Neurospora crassa OR74A: one gene and its partners. The protein of the gene in region 1 binds, or shares a complex with, the protein of each later gene. Links are inferred from orthologs where the notes say so. Each region holds a gene or a part of one and is shown in the gene's direction. Other genes may lie near its edges. The genes, in order: cyt-26, NCU03233 and fes-1.

Region 1 (3,747 bases):
CACCAACTACGATGCGAAGAGCATCGCTGAGGCCAAGGCTGCGCTGGAGAAGAGCGGCTTGCGCCAGCGCCTGATGATTGACTGCAGCCACGGCAACTCGAATAAGAACCACAAGAACCAGCCCAAGGTCGCTGCCGAAATTGCGCAACAACTTGAGAACGGCGAAACTGGTATCATGGGCGTCATGATTGAGAGCAACATCAACGAGGGCAAGTCTTTTTATTTTGTTTATTTTTTTTATTGGGGGCATATGACCGTCTAAATTTGAAGCTGTTCGCTAACACAACGTACAGGTAACCAGAAGGTGCCCGAGGAAGGCAAGTGCGGCCTCAAGTACGGTGTCAGTATCACTGATGCTTGTATTGGCTGGGAGGACACTGTCGCCACTCTCGACACGCTTGCGCAGGCCGTCAAAAAGAGGAGAGAAGTCCTGAGCAAGAACGCCGCTGCCTAAGTCATGCCAATTCCTGGTCTTGTTTGCTTTATGGTTTATGGGTCATTTGATAGGGGTTCACGAACCCTAAGTGAGGGATGCCGAATATATGCTGGCGCGGGGATGGGAACACAAAAGCTGACATTTCTGCATGTGGTGTGTTTTGATAAAGAGCGTGTATTAATGCATCTTGGGAAATGGCCGTCGAGACAATAGAAGATGGTAAAAGATGGAGCGGGTCTGGATCTCAAAACGAAACAATTACCTTGGATTTCTTTCGATGATAATCTCTAGGATCGTCCATGTTCGACTACAGTTTTGCGTTGCCTTTTTTTTTGGGGATGCAATTGTGGTGATGTGTTGGTGTGAAGCGTGATAGCCGTGGTGACCAAATCTGAGCTTCACCTGCGATTACGGGGCCACGGCATAGGTATGTATGTGTGGTGTATAGCTTCAAACCTGGCTTTCCTTGGCAGCTTTTCCTCGGCTAGGTCCGGTCACGCTGGGTCGCCGTGTGAGCTGAAAAGACAGAAGGGGCGGACCGCGGGCAGCGAGAGCTTGGACATTTATGATTTCCATGGGGCGATGCTGGCTGATGCTGATGCTGATACTGATGCTGATCCTGATCCTGATGCCCAGCTCCCAGCTGTGCCCAGTTGGATTAGTCGCTTGTGAAACTTCCACTTGCAGGTCGGGATTGGGCTCGCTGAGGTGTCTACCTTACTGAGCAAGGTAGTCTCAAAAAGCGCTGAGGCCCGCGGGCAGAATGAGGTAAATTAGTGCGGAAAATCCATCGGCCGGGGCCGAGGGGAAGTGTAAAAGCTCGAAAGGCTGCACGGTGATTGGCCCAGCCAATCAGATGGCGAGTGTTCCTAAGATTCCCGAAATTCAAGAAACCTACGGTCCTACCTACGACGCTACGTGAAGGGAATCGACCGACCTTGCACCTGGACGGACCTGCTCGACCTCCCGCCCGCCAGACCTGATACTGTCACCGACATTGCCAACCCAATTGGCCTTGTCCCCCGAACCCGCGATACTTTCCTAAAGCTTCGCTCAGCTTGCCCACCATGCTGGCGAGGACCTGCCTGCGCTCGACGCGCACCTTTGCCAGCGCGAAAAATGGCGCCTTCAAATTTGCCAAGGTTCGTCTCGATTGCTTCGACAACTCTTTCGTCCTCGTCTCTCTGCCCCTCCAAACAACAGATCTCGGCCGCATCGCCACTCGAATGGCTGGGTCTGGGCCGGCTTGAGCTACCGTCAACCTACTGCGAGCTCCCGGTCCGGGGCCCAGTTGCCCGACCATCCCCGCCCCGGCCGAGCCATCCTGTCTTGTCTCCTTCACACTCTCGCGCTCCTCGAGGAAAGCTAACGGACGTGCCCGGCAGCGTTCGGCTTCCACCCAGAGCTCCGGCGCCGCTGCCGAGTCTCCCCTCCGCCTGAACATTGCTGCCGCCGCTGCCACCGCCGTCGCCGCCGGCTCGATCGCCTGGTACTACCATCTCTATGGATTCGCTTCCGCCATGACTCCGGCTGAGGAAGGGTGAGTCCCCTACGATCGATCCGACCATCCGCCCCGCTCTAGCCGCTGGACCGAGGTCTGCCTCATGGGTTCTGAGGCATATACGACCGAGCTCGACTATAGGCATGAATCTGGGCATGGAGTGACTCGAAGCTTACCGTTGACGCAGTCTCCATGCTACCAAGTACCCCTGGGTCCACGAACAGTGGCTCAAGACCTTTGATCACCAAGCGTAAGCAACCACTCCTATCCAGCCCATTCGAGGCCGCGCCTCCAATCCAAAATGACTATCTGGCTCACGACTTTGTTTTTGCCCGACTGCAGTCTTCGCAGAGGTTTCCAGGTGTACCGTGAGGTCTGCGCCTCGTGCCACTCTCTCAGCAGAGTCCCCTACCGCGCTCTTGTCGGCACCATCTTGACCGTCGATGAGGCCAAGGCTCTTGCCGAAGAGAACGAGTACGACACCGAGCCCAACGACCAGGGCGAGATCGAGAAGCGCCCCGGCAAGCTTTCCGACTACCTCCCCGATCCCTACAAGAACGATGAGGCCGCCCGTTTCGCCAACAACGGTGCCCTTCCTCCCGATCTCAGCTTGATCGTCAAGGCCCGCCACGGTGGCTGCGACTACATCTTCTCCCTCCTTACCGGCTATCCCGATGAGCCTCCCGCTGGCGCTTCCGTTGGCGCCGGCCTTAACTTCAACCCCTACTTCCCCGGTACCGGTATCGCCATGGCCCGTGTCCTCTACGACGGCCTCGTCGACTACGAGGATGGCACCCCCGCCTCCACCTCCCAGATGGCCAAGGATGTTGTTGAGTTCCTCAACTGGGCTGCTGAGCCCGAGATGGACGACCGCAAGCGCATGGGTATGAAGGTTCTGGTTGTCACCTCTGTGCTCTTCGCCTTGAGCGTCTATGTTAAGCGTTACAAGTGGGCTTGGCTCAAGTCGAGGAAGATCGTCTACGATCCCCCCAAGGAGTCCACCACCCGCCACTAATTTAGCATTGCCACAACAAAGGGCAAAGTCATGACATTCACACAATAACCGTTGTGAGACGTGCGTGATTTTCCTTGTCTTTTTCTGTGTATGTATCATATACTATTGCTGCCCAAATTTTGCTCCCCCATGTTCCTCTTGCGCATCGGTCAGAAAGAGCAAAACGAAAAGGAATGGGCAGGGGCGGGATCGGTAACTCTGGGCAATGCGGAGATGTGCGGGCGTGTGGGTTGAACATGAAGATGGTCGTAGAGTGTATAAATCAAATTTTCTGGTCTCAAATACAACATAGACGTTATTGCCTGTGTCTGACAGGGTATGATGGTATGGGTATGACGGTCAAGCTGAACTTGCATGTGAGTGGATCAGGATACGGATATTACGACATGGGCATTTGAACGGATGCCAAAGAGTAAAGGCCATTTCCCTGTCAGCTACATCATCATGTACGCCTTTAACTTCGAGAGTAGTTGAGATATAGTATGAGCTTCGAAAGCCTTGACATTTCTCGATTGGCAATCTCTCTTTCACCGAATCACGGTAAATGTCAGCACGAAGTGCCACAGAGGATGCCCCTGGCTTGGCATTTGATTTGCCTTCCAAACAAAGTCTTGGCCCCCTCCCCTCCCTTTTCGATTCACTCACTGACAAGCAACAACATCTTGACCCCAAACTCATCGTGAAGTTTTCAATCACATTTTGATTCTACGATTGCTGGACACCACATATGTAAATCCAAAACTCTCCATCCACTGACAACCAGCAAAATGTCATCATCAAAACTATCACCACCCC
Region 2 (3,492 bases), about 850 kb from region 1:
GCCTCCTTGTTATCTGATCCCACCTTCCCTGCAGGGCAGGATCCGACATCCCTCTCGTCTTGAACTGTAAATTGACTGTACAGACCCTGTACAGCCAGCAGCATTCGAAACCATCACTCTTTATCGTCGTCGTCCCTTTCATCTTAACAATTTGCCTTGGACATTCGCCTTGGACCATTCGCCTTTACCCGATCGCAACGTTCAGAGCAGCAGCACTTCCCGTCATGGCATATTCATACAGCTACCCCATGCTCCCCAGGCCCTCAACGCGGGCGCGCGGAGCGGCAGAAGGCTCAAAGGTCGGCGTGCAGTGTCAAAGAGTGTCGAAAGGCTTCCCAGTTTAGGCTCATGCTGAAGGATTGTTCAGGGATCGTCGTGAATCGAGTGTGGCGCATCAATTGGACCGGCGGAGCAGTGTCTCTGTAACTTGGCCATAGCAATTGCCGGCCAGGACCTATGCTCATGATCTTTATCCTCGATCGTCACTTTCCTGCTTCAGGTCGAGTCCTCTTTTGGTTCAGACGAAGCCTTTGCGGTCTTTGGCTCCCCTTCAGAGTCGAAACCAAGGGCATCCAATTCCCGGATGAGTTCGTTGATCTTGATAACCTTGGCGATCTGTTCAGGTAACAACGACTCTCCACCATCCTTCTTGTCCTTCAGCTCCTTGGCCTGGCGAAGCTTCTTCTTTACATTCCGGGCCTTCTTCTCCTTCTCGGCTTCCGGGTCGAGCTCTTCTGGCTTGAGTGCAGGGGCCGCTGCAACAGCTGTCTTCTGATCCTCGCCTTCTATTTCGCCAGCAGCCTTGGCTTTTTTGCGCGCTTCCCGACGTTTGGCATTTTTGTTAGCCGCCGCACTGAGCTGCTGGTCCGACTTGTCCTCCTTCAATCCCTCTGCGCCCGGCACTGGGCCTTTGCCGCGCTGGCGAAAGCCCTCGGCGGTGCGGTTCTTGTACACCTCGACATCCTCGGGCGGGCGGTAGCCGGGGCGGACTTTGATAGCTTTTCTGGTACTCCCGTCGGCTCTCTTAGACTCGGGGATGACACGCTCGCCGTTTTTGTCAGTTATGATGCCGGAGTTTGTTGGCTGAGACATGGTTCAAGATTGTGGTGGGATTATTGATGTTCGATGAGGGGTTCGGCTAGGGTTGCGGCGATGCCGTTCGACGATTCGGAAGTAGTGAGTTTCGTATAAATGTTTAATGGTTGATTCGCCGGAGCTCGAACCTCGCGTGTCGAGATTGTTGCTTTCGTAATGCGCACAGTTTGATGCGCATCCGTCGGACACGTCAATCAGTAAATTTGTAGGAAGAAGCAAGAGATTGGAAAATGAGGACGACGTTGTGGCTTCGAGGTTGATCCCGCTTGCAGCTTGGCACGCTTGTGAGAGGTGCCAGCAGCCTTGGAGGCACCTGGAGAAAGTGGGTCATAGCTTTGACCAATCAGGGGAGCTGCATTTGCTCCGGATGGTTCCGGCCGGCGACATCTGCGATCTTCTAGGTTCCGCTGGGTCGGTTTTGTCCAGTGCAACGAAAAACATCGTGATTGCTCGCGACGCCCATCTCCCACACAACGTCACCGTCAGAGACGCAGCTGAACCACCGTTTACAGCCTCGGTAAATCTGCCAAAATGGTGAGCATCTCTCCGCCCTCACGCCGGCTCAGAACCTGCCAATGCTAATCGCGCATTCCCAATTTAGTCCGCTTTGTACAAGCAAGTATCCCCGCAACGCCGAGCGCATGCTCACACGCCTCCCACCCCCATCGGCCCGGCACCGGCCCCGACCCTATCTCCCGGGCCAAAGCCAAATCGAGCACCGATAGCTAACGTACATCCCAGCCTCATCTTCCGCAACAACACCGCCTTTGTCGGCGCTGTCTTCGCTGGTGCCTTCGCCTTCGAGTTGTACGTACCCACGACAGTCGTATAAACATATAACAGGGAATCTTGTGTCGCTGAACAATCGCACCATCTAGGGCCTATGACAACGGCATGGACAAGGTCTGGGACAAGATCAACAAGGGGGTACGAGCCTACGACTGAATTGACACTGGTGTGGAACAGTTGCTGACGAGGAGAACAGCGCCAATGGAAGGACATCCGCCACAAGTACGTCGAGGCTGAGGAGTAAACATGACGACTTGGGAGCAACTTTTCAAGACATGGAAACGCCGACCCGATGAGGATCAGACGACAGCCTCTAGGAGAAAGTGGGACGTGGTCGACGGCCATTGATTGCTAGAGGAATGGGCGACTTTTCCTGACGCTTCTGCCTACCAAGCCCCTATTTCTACCGTATTGTACAAAATCAATATTCACCATGGCGAAAGACACATAGACGAATGACCATAGCCCGACTACAAGGCTGAAGAGTAGGAGCATTGAGCAATTCTCTCTGCCAGCTTTTGATCTGAGGAACCTCAGCATGAAGCAAGCCCGGCAACCGAACGGCCCAGCCTGGATTTCGGACGTGTGTATGTGTGGGCAATGTCTGCTTTAAATTTCCCAGCGTTGCGTAGCAGGCTGAAGCGTTCGATGAACTGCGCAGTTCGAGCTGACCTTCGCAATCTCTGACGTCTTTACGCAGCGGCTTTGATGGTCGGTCGGACGGCATGGATTTTTCACACACCAAGCGCCAGCCCCTGGCAAGCTACGTTAGCTGGCACTGTGGCCTGTGGTATGTGGTATGTAGAGGTAGTAGAGTATAGAGGTACCTACCGGCTGGTGCTCGACATGGTGATTATTCGCTGAGGAACCTCTACATTTGACCTACTAACTTTTTGTTCTGTCCCTACCGTACCTCTACCGGTACTTCAGGAGCAACACGGTGCAATGCACGATGATGATTATCAATATACGGTGTGGACGACATCAGGACGGGAGGTTCAGTTTGTAACAAGTCGCTCGGTTAGGTATAGTAGCGGAAGCACACGCGTACTTCTGAGGGTAAGCGTGGCCCAGTTGTAGTGTTTAGTTGCTCCCTATCATAAACAGTACCATTCATAACTGTACGTCAAGAAGGGAACAGGGCTTCACTCTTCCTAGTACCTTCTGCCTACGCTACCTCTACCTCTACTTAAAGGCCCGGAGTGCGGCCCCCCACTGACGTACCATTACGAGCGTCAGTGCACCTTCTTGTTCGCAAAATACCGAAGCTCGCTGCAGGATTTGTCTCGCAAATGTCGATAGGTAAAGATATAATGGGGATGAGTTATGGTCAAAGATGGTAGGAGCTTTTAGTGGAGTCCTAAGTGTCGGTGCAATCACGACTGCAAACCTACCTGGGTAACATAGGTTGCTCCGACGGCATGTCTACCAGTACTGAATTGGATGTTAGGCCAAATGGCACCAACGGAACTCGCAATGGATCAACAGCGGCCATAGAAGCCCGACAAAACCCCCCCCACAGGATCTACAATTAAGAAGGAACTCGGAGGAACGGTCCTGACGGTCGGTTGTTGGTTAACCGACAGAAGCCAGCCAATCCATCGACGA
Region 3 (3,747 bases), on another chromosome or scaffold:
CGAGCTGAAAGGCGGCTGTCGCGCTCTGGCGGTCATGGGCAGCAAAATCGTGGCTGCACTCCACAAGACAGTGGTTATCAGCCAGTACGAGGAAACGTCAAGCACTGAGGCCCATCTCGTCAAGCTCGCGTCTTATCGGTGCACAACTTATCCGGTCGACATCGCGGTGCATGGCAACATGATTGCTGTTGCTGATATGATGAAGTCGGCTACACTGGTCGAGTACGTCCCGGCCAAAACCGGAGGGGAGAAGTCCGAAGCCCCCAAGTTGGTAGAGTGCGCGAGACACAGGCATTCTGCGTGGGCAACGGCCGTGGCTCACGTTGAGGGCGAGTCTTGGCTTGAAGCTGATGCCAATGGCAATCTGATCGTGCTTCAACGCAATGCTGAGGGCGTGACAGTGGAGGACCAGCGGCAACTGAGGATAACAAGCGAGCTCAACCTGGGAGAACAGGTGAACAAAATACGCCCGATCAAGGTCGAGACTAGCCCGAACGCCATCATCATTCCTCGAGCGTTCTTGGCCACGGTAAGTTGCCTGTTTCTCAGATTGATCATGTCACAAGGTCAAGGCTAACAATTGACTTGATAAAACAGGCGGAAGGCGGTATTTACATGTTTGGTACGATTGCGCGCGAACAAGACCTCTTACTTCGGTTCCAGGATAAACTGGCGGCGGTGATCAAGACAGTTGGCGAACTCGATTTCAACTCCTACAGGGCATTCCGCAATGCGGAAAGGGGGCCCGAGGCAGATGGAACGACTGGGCCGGTCAGGTTCCTGGATGGGGAGTTGCTGGAGAGGTTTTTGGATGTGGATGAGAAGACGCAGAAGGAGATCTGCGAAGGTCTTGGGCCGAGCGTTGAGCAGATGCGCAATATGGTAGAGGAGCTACGGAGGATGCACTGAGCCAACGGTTAGACACTTAACGTGCATGATTGGATGTCTACAAGTCATCGCTTTGGCTGCTGAAGATTTTGGCAGTTGCAAGTGTTGTCAATAAGTGCTGTGCTCAAAACATGGCTGCATAGGGTGAGAGAAGATGAGTCTGTGAATAGCCTCAGATGAACGAATGAATTATGTATGATCAATAGATCAATTGACATCACTGTCTTGGCACCCTTGGCTCGCCGAGTCGCTGACAGTTCAAGTTGTCCGGGCGCTGCGGTGACGCGCTGAGGTGAGCCCCACCACCACCATCACCACCACCAACAGGACGAACCAGGCGACGGAAGAAACCGGAGAGTGGACGAACAGGCAGTCACAGCCAATCAGGGCCGGCGCATTAAGTAGCTCTCTAGCTGCTGGGCGGACGCTGTGGTTGGTTAGTGCCTCAGGCCACAAGCCAGTAGCTATGGCGGTTTCCCATGCCGGGAAAGGTGGGAACCAAGCTCGGCCCAGAAAAACCTCAGTCCGTGATTTTGGCCTCGTCGTCTCGACCGCATTACGCAGCCGTCAATTCCGTCTCCGGAACACCGCCCACGTCCACCGTCCTCCCGCGACTCCGAAAGAGCAGAACCTCGCTCGATCTCCCCGCTCTCGCAACCCCCTCTCTCCGCTCCGACCTCTGTCCACGCGAGTAATTCTACCGACACAATGGCGCCCGTCTCGATCGTTTCCCGCGCCGCCATGCGCGCCGCTGCCGCCCCCGCCCGGGCCGTTCGCGCTCTCACCACCTCGACTGCCCTCCAGGGTTCCTCGTCCTCCACCTTCGAGAGCCCCTTCAAGGGCGAGAGCAAGGCCGCCAAGGTCCCCGACTTCGGCAAATACATGAGCAAGGCGCCCCCCAGCACCAACATGCTCTTCTCCTACTTCATGGTCGGCACCATGGGCGCCATCACCGCCGCCGGCGCCAAGTCCACCATCCAGGGTGAGTCTTGACTTGATGGGATTTGAGGAGGAAGCTTCACACATTCCTCGAGGTTGGGGAAAACAAAGAGGTGGCATAGGACAGATGGGTTCGGGTCAATGGGATTCGACAAGGGGGTTCTGTTATGGTGGGGCGAGCTATCTACGGTTCCGTCTCATCGATCACCAATTTGCGACCACTATGACAACTTTCGATATCGGGGCGGATATGGTTGGACCTTGGGGCGATGTTGAAGCATGGATACATGGGGAAAATGCCATCTTGCACATGCACCCACGAACACCCAAGAACTAAAGACAGCTGACGAGGCGACCGTGTTATACAGAGTTCCTCAAGAACATGTCGGCTTCCGCTGATGTCTTGGCCATGGCCAAGGTTGAGGTTGACCTCAACGCCATCCCCGAGGGCAAGAACGTAAGGATCCCTACGAAACCGGATTAGCAAAGGCTTGGGCTGAGCTGAGCTGGGCACATCGATTCCCGACGACGATCAAACCATGATGGAATGCTGACCCCGGTCTTTTCCTACTTTTACAGGTCATCATCAAGTGGCGTGGCAAGCCCGTCTTCATCCGTCACCGTACCCCTGCGGAGATCGAAGAGGCCAACAAGGTCAACGTTGCCACCCTCCGTGACCCCGAGACCGACGCCGACCGTGTCAAGAAGCCCGAGTGGCTCGTCATGCTTGGTACGCCCCTCCATGTCCCTCTTTGCGATCCGAACAAGACGAAGGATAGCATTTTTGGATGCTCAGATCCTGGATACACGACGATGTGGGGAGACTGACATTTGGTGTGTGAACAAAACAGGCGTCTGCACCCACTTGGGTTGCGTTCCCATCGGCGAGGCCGGTGACTACGGTGGCTGGTTCTGCCCTTGCCACGGTTCTCACTACGATATCTCTGGCCGTATCAGGAAAGGACCTGCCCCTCTGAACCTCGAGATCCCTCTCTACGAGTTCCCTGAGGAGGGCAAGCTTGTCATTGGTTAAGCGAGCAAAAAGACAAAACTTTCCGATTGAACAAACAAGACACAATTTTTAACCAAACCTACTAGGGAATCCTCTCGATATTCCCTTGTCCACTTTTTTTTTCCCTTGCTGCCCGAGAGACGATGACAGGGAGAATTGTATTAGTACGGGGGTATTGCGACAAAGGGCTTGAGTGGAAGCATGTCATAGACCATAAAACGGGATTTTTGTTTTCCGTGGTTCTTGACGCGGTTTCGTACGACTATCCTATAGACAGAAGACACACATACGCATACACAACAGCAAATCAGGTGTCACGGTCGATCATATGCGCTCGAGAGTCGGAAACTTCTATATACTCAGAACTGCGTTCTTCACCTACGCAACCCTACATACCTATTATTGGTGCTGAGCTTGGCGCTAGGTTGCTGCTGAGTGTTGTACCCTTGCGTTTTCCTATAGACTGGCTTTGTAGAAAATCCTATTGTATGAGAGGCTCACTGGAGCATGGTACCGTGAGAAGGTCTTCCTCGACCCATGGCAGTCGGCTGTGGCTAAGAGCTTTGTGAGGAAACCATAGGTCAGCTGATGAACCTCCCAATGCTAACGCATCTGATCATCCAACACGGCATTGGTAAATACAAATGGCCTTTTATGCGGGTGTGGGACAGACAGGCTACATGTCGAATTGCTGGAGAGCAGCTCGACCAGAATTACAGATGTTGACAACTTAATCTTAGCTTGGCCAACCTTGCGAATCAAGCCCAGTCGGTATACCCGCCCGTGCTACTCTGGTAGCTGAGTTAAGGAAACGCCCGCGAACCGGTAGCTTACCCTGGTTGTTTCATTGACGTCTGAGGAATTCTCCGAACGTAATTATATCTGAAGCCCGCCTTAACATCTTGTGC

The links.
Region 2: the proteins of cyt-26 (region 1) and NCU03233 are in contact, whole or in part, in a cryo-EM structure (PDB 8ABA), measured with the Yarrowia lipolytica proteins. The link is inferred for Neurospora crassa OR74A from reciprocal best matches to the Saccharomyces cerevisiae genes CYT1 and QCR9. Residues at the interface, in XP_500165.3 of Yarrowia lipolytica: Pro127, Met131, Leu132, Ser133, Thr134, Phe135, Asp136, His137, Ala138, Arg141, Gly167, Val168, Thr169, His170, Thr171, Glu174, Glu287, Asp314, Lys317, Lys318, Leu321, Lys322, Ile325, Val326; in XP_500389.1 of Yarrowia lipolytica: Phe29, Phe33, Glu34, Ile37, Asp38, Phe40, Trp41, Ile44, Asn45, Gly47, Lys48, Gln49, Trp50, Ile53, Tyr57.
Region 3: the proteins of cyt-26 (region 1) and fes-1 are in contact, whole or in part, in a cryo-EM structure (PDB 8ABB), measured with the Yarrowia lipolytica proteins. The link is inferred for Neurospora crassa OR74A from reciprocal best matches to the Saccharomyces cerevisiae genes CYT1 and RIP1. Residues at the interface, in XP_500165.3 of Yarrowia lipolytica: Arg163, Lys176, Asp186, Glu187, Pro188, Arg195, Lys200, Ala202, Val326, Ala329, Met330, Leu333, Ser334, Tyr336, Ile337, Phe340, Asn347, Lys349, Ile351, Tyr352, Asn353; in XP_499709.1 of Yarrowia lipolytica: Gly39, Lys40, Ser41, Thr42, Lys44, Pro46, Asp47, Phe48, Tyr51, Phe64, Ser65, Met68, Ile69, Ser71, Phe72, Leu75, Ser76, Ala95, Asp96, Ala99, Met100, Glu104, Lys119.

The regions. Positions count from the first base shown.
Region 1 is NC_026501.1:4,145,085-4,148,831, reverse strand, and holds cyt-26 (cytochrome-26), read left to right. Parts: upstream 1-1,269; 5' UTR 1,270-1,503; coding exon 1,504-1,578; intron 1,579-1,821; coding exon 1,822-1,976; intron 1,977-2,124; coding exon 2,125-2,187; intron 2,188-2,279; coding exon 2,280-2,952; 3' UTR 2,953-3,564; downstream 3,565-3,747. Other genes in the region: aro-7 (DAHP synthase), read left to right, coding at 1-209, 294-454; mbp3 (methylated-DNA-binding protein3), read left to right, coding at 3,720-3,747. UniProt on the Saccharomyces cerevisiae protein: Component of the ubiquinol-cytochrome c oxidoreductase, a multisubunit transmembrane complex that is part of the mitochondrial electron transport chain which drives oxidative phosphorylation.
Region 2 is NC_026501.1:4,990,393-4,993,884, forward strand, and holds NCU03233 (hypothetical protein), read left to right. Parts: upstream 1-1,501; 5' UTR 1,502-1,626; coding exon 1,627-1,629; intron 1,630-1,696; coding exon 1,697-1,710; intron 1,711-1,836; coding exon 1,837-1,902; intron 1,903-1,973; coding exon 1,974-2,022; intron 2,023-2,080; coding exon 2,081-2,128; 3' UTR 2,129-2,956; downstream 2,957-3,492. Other genes in the region: NCU03232 (RNA binding protein Pym), read right to left, coding at 496-1,092. UniProt on the Saccharomyces cerevisiae protein: Component of the ubiquinol-cytochrome c oxidoreductase, a multisubunit transmembrane complex that is part of the mitochondrial electron transport chain which drives oxidative phosphorylation.
Region 3 is NC_026504.1:1,785,017-1,788,763, forward strand, and holds fes-1 (ubiquinol-cytochrome c reductase iron-sulfur subunit), read left to right. Parts: upstream 1-1,389; 5' UTR 1,390-1,596; coding exon 1,597-1,870; intron 1,871-2,195; coding exon 2,196-2,284; intron 2,285-2,406; coding exon 2,407-2,557; intron 2,558-2,678; coding exon 2,679-2,860; 3' UTR 2,861-3,588; downstream 3,589-3,747. Other genes in the region: dim-8 (DNA damage-binding protein 1), read left to right, coding at 1-529, 598-909. UniProt on the Saccharomyces cerevisiae protein: Component of the ubiquinol-cytochrome c oxidoreductase, a multisubunit transmembrane complex that is part of the mitochondrial electron transport chain which drives oxidative phosphorylation.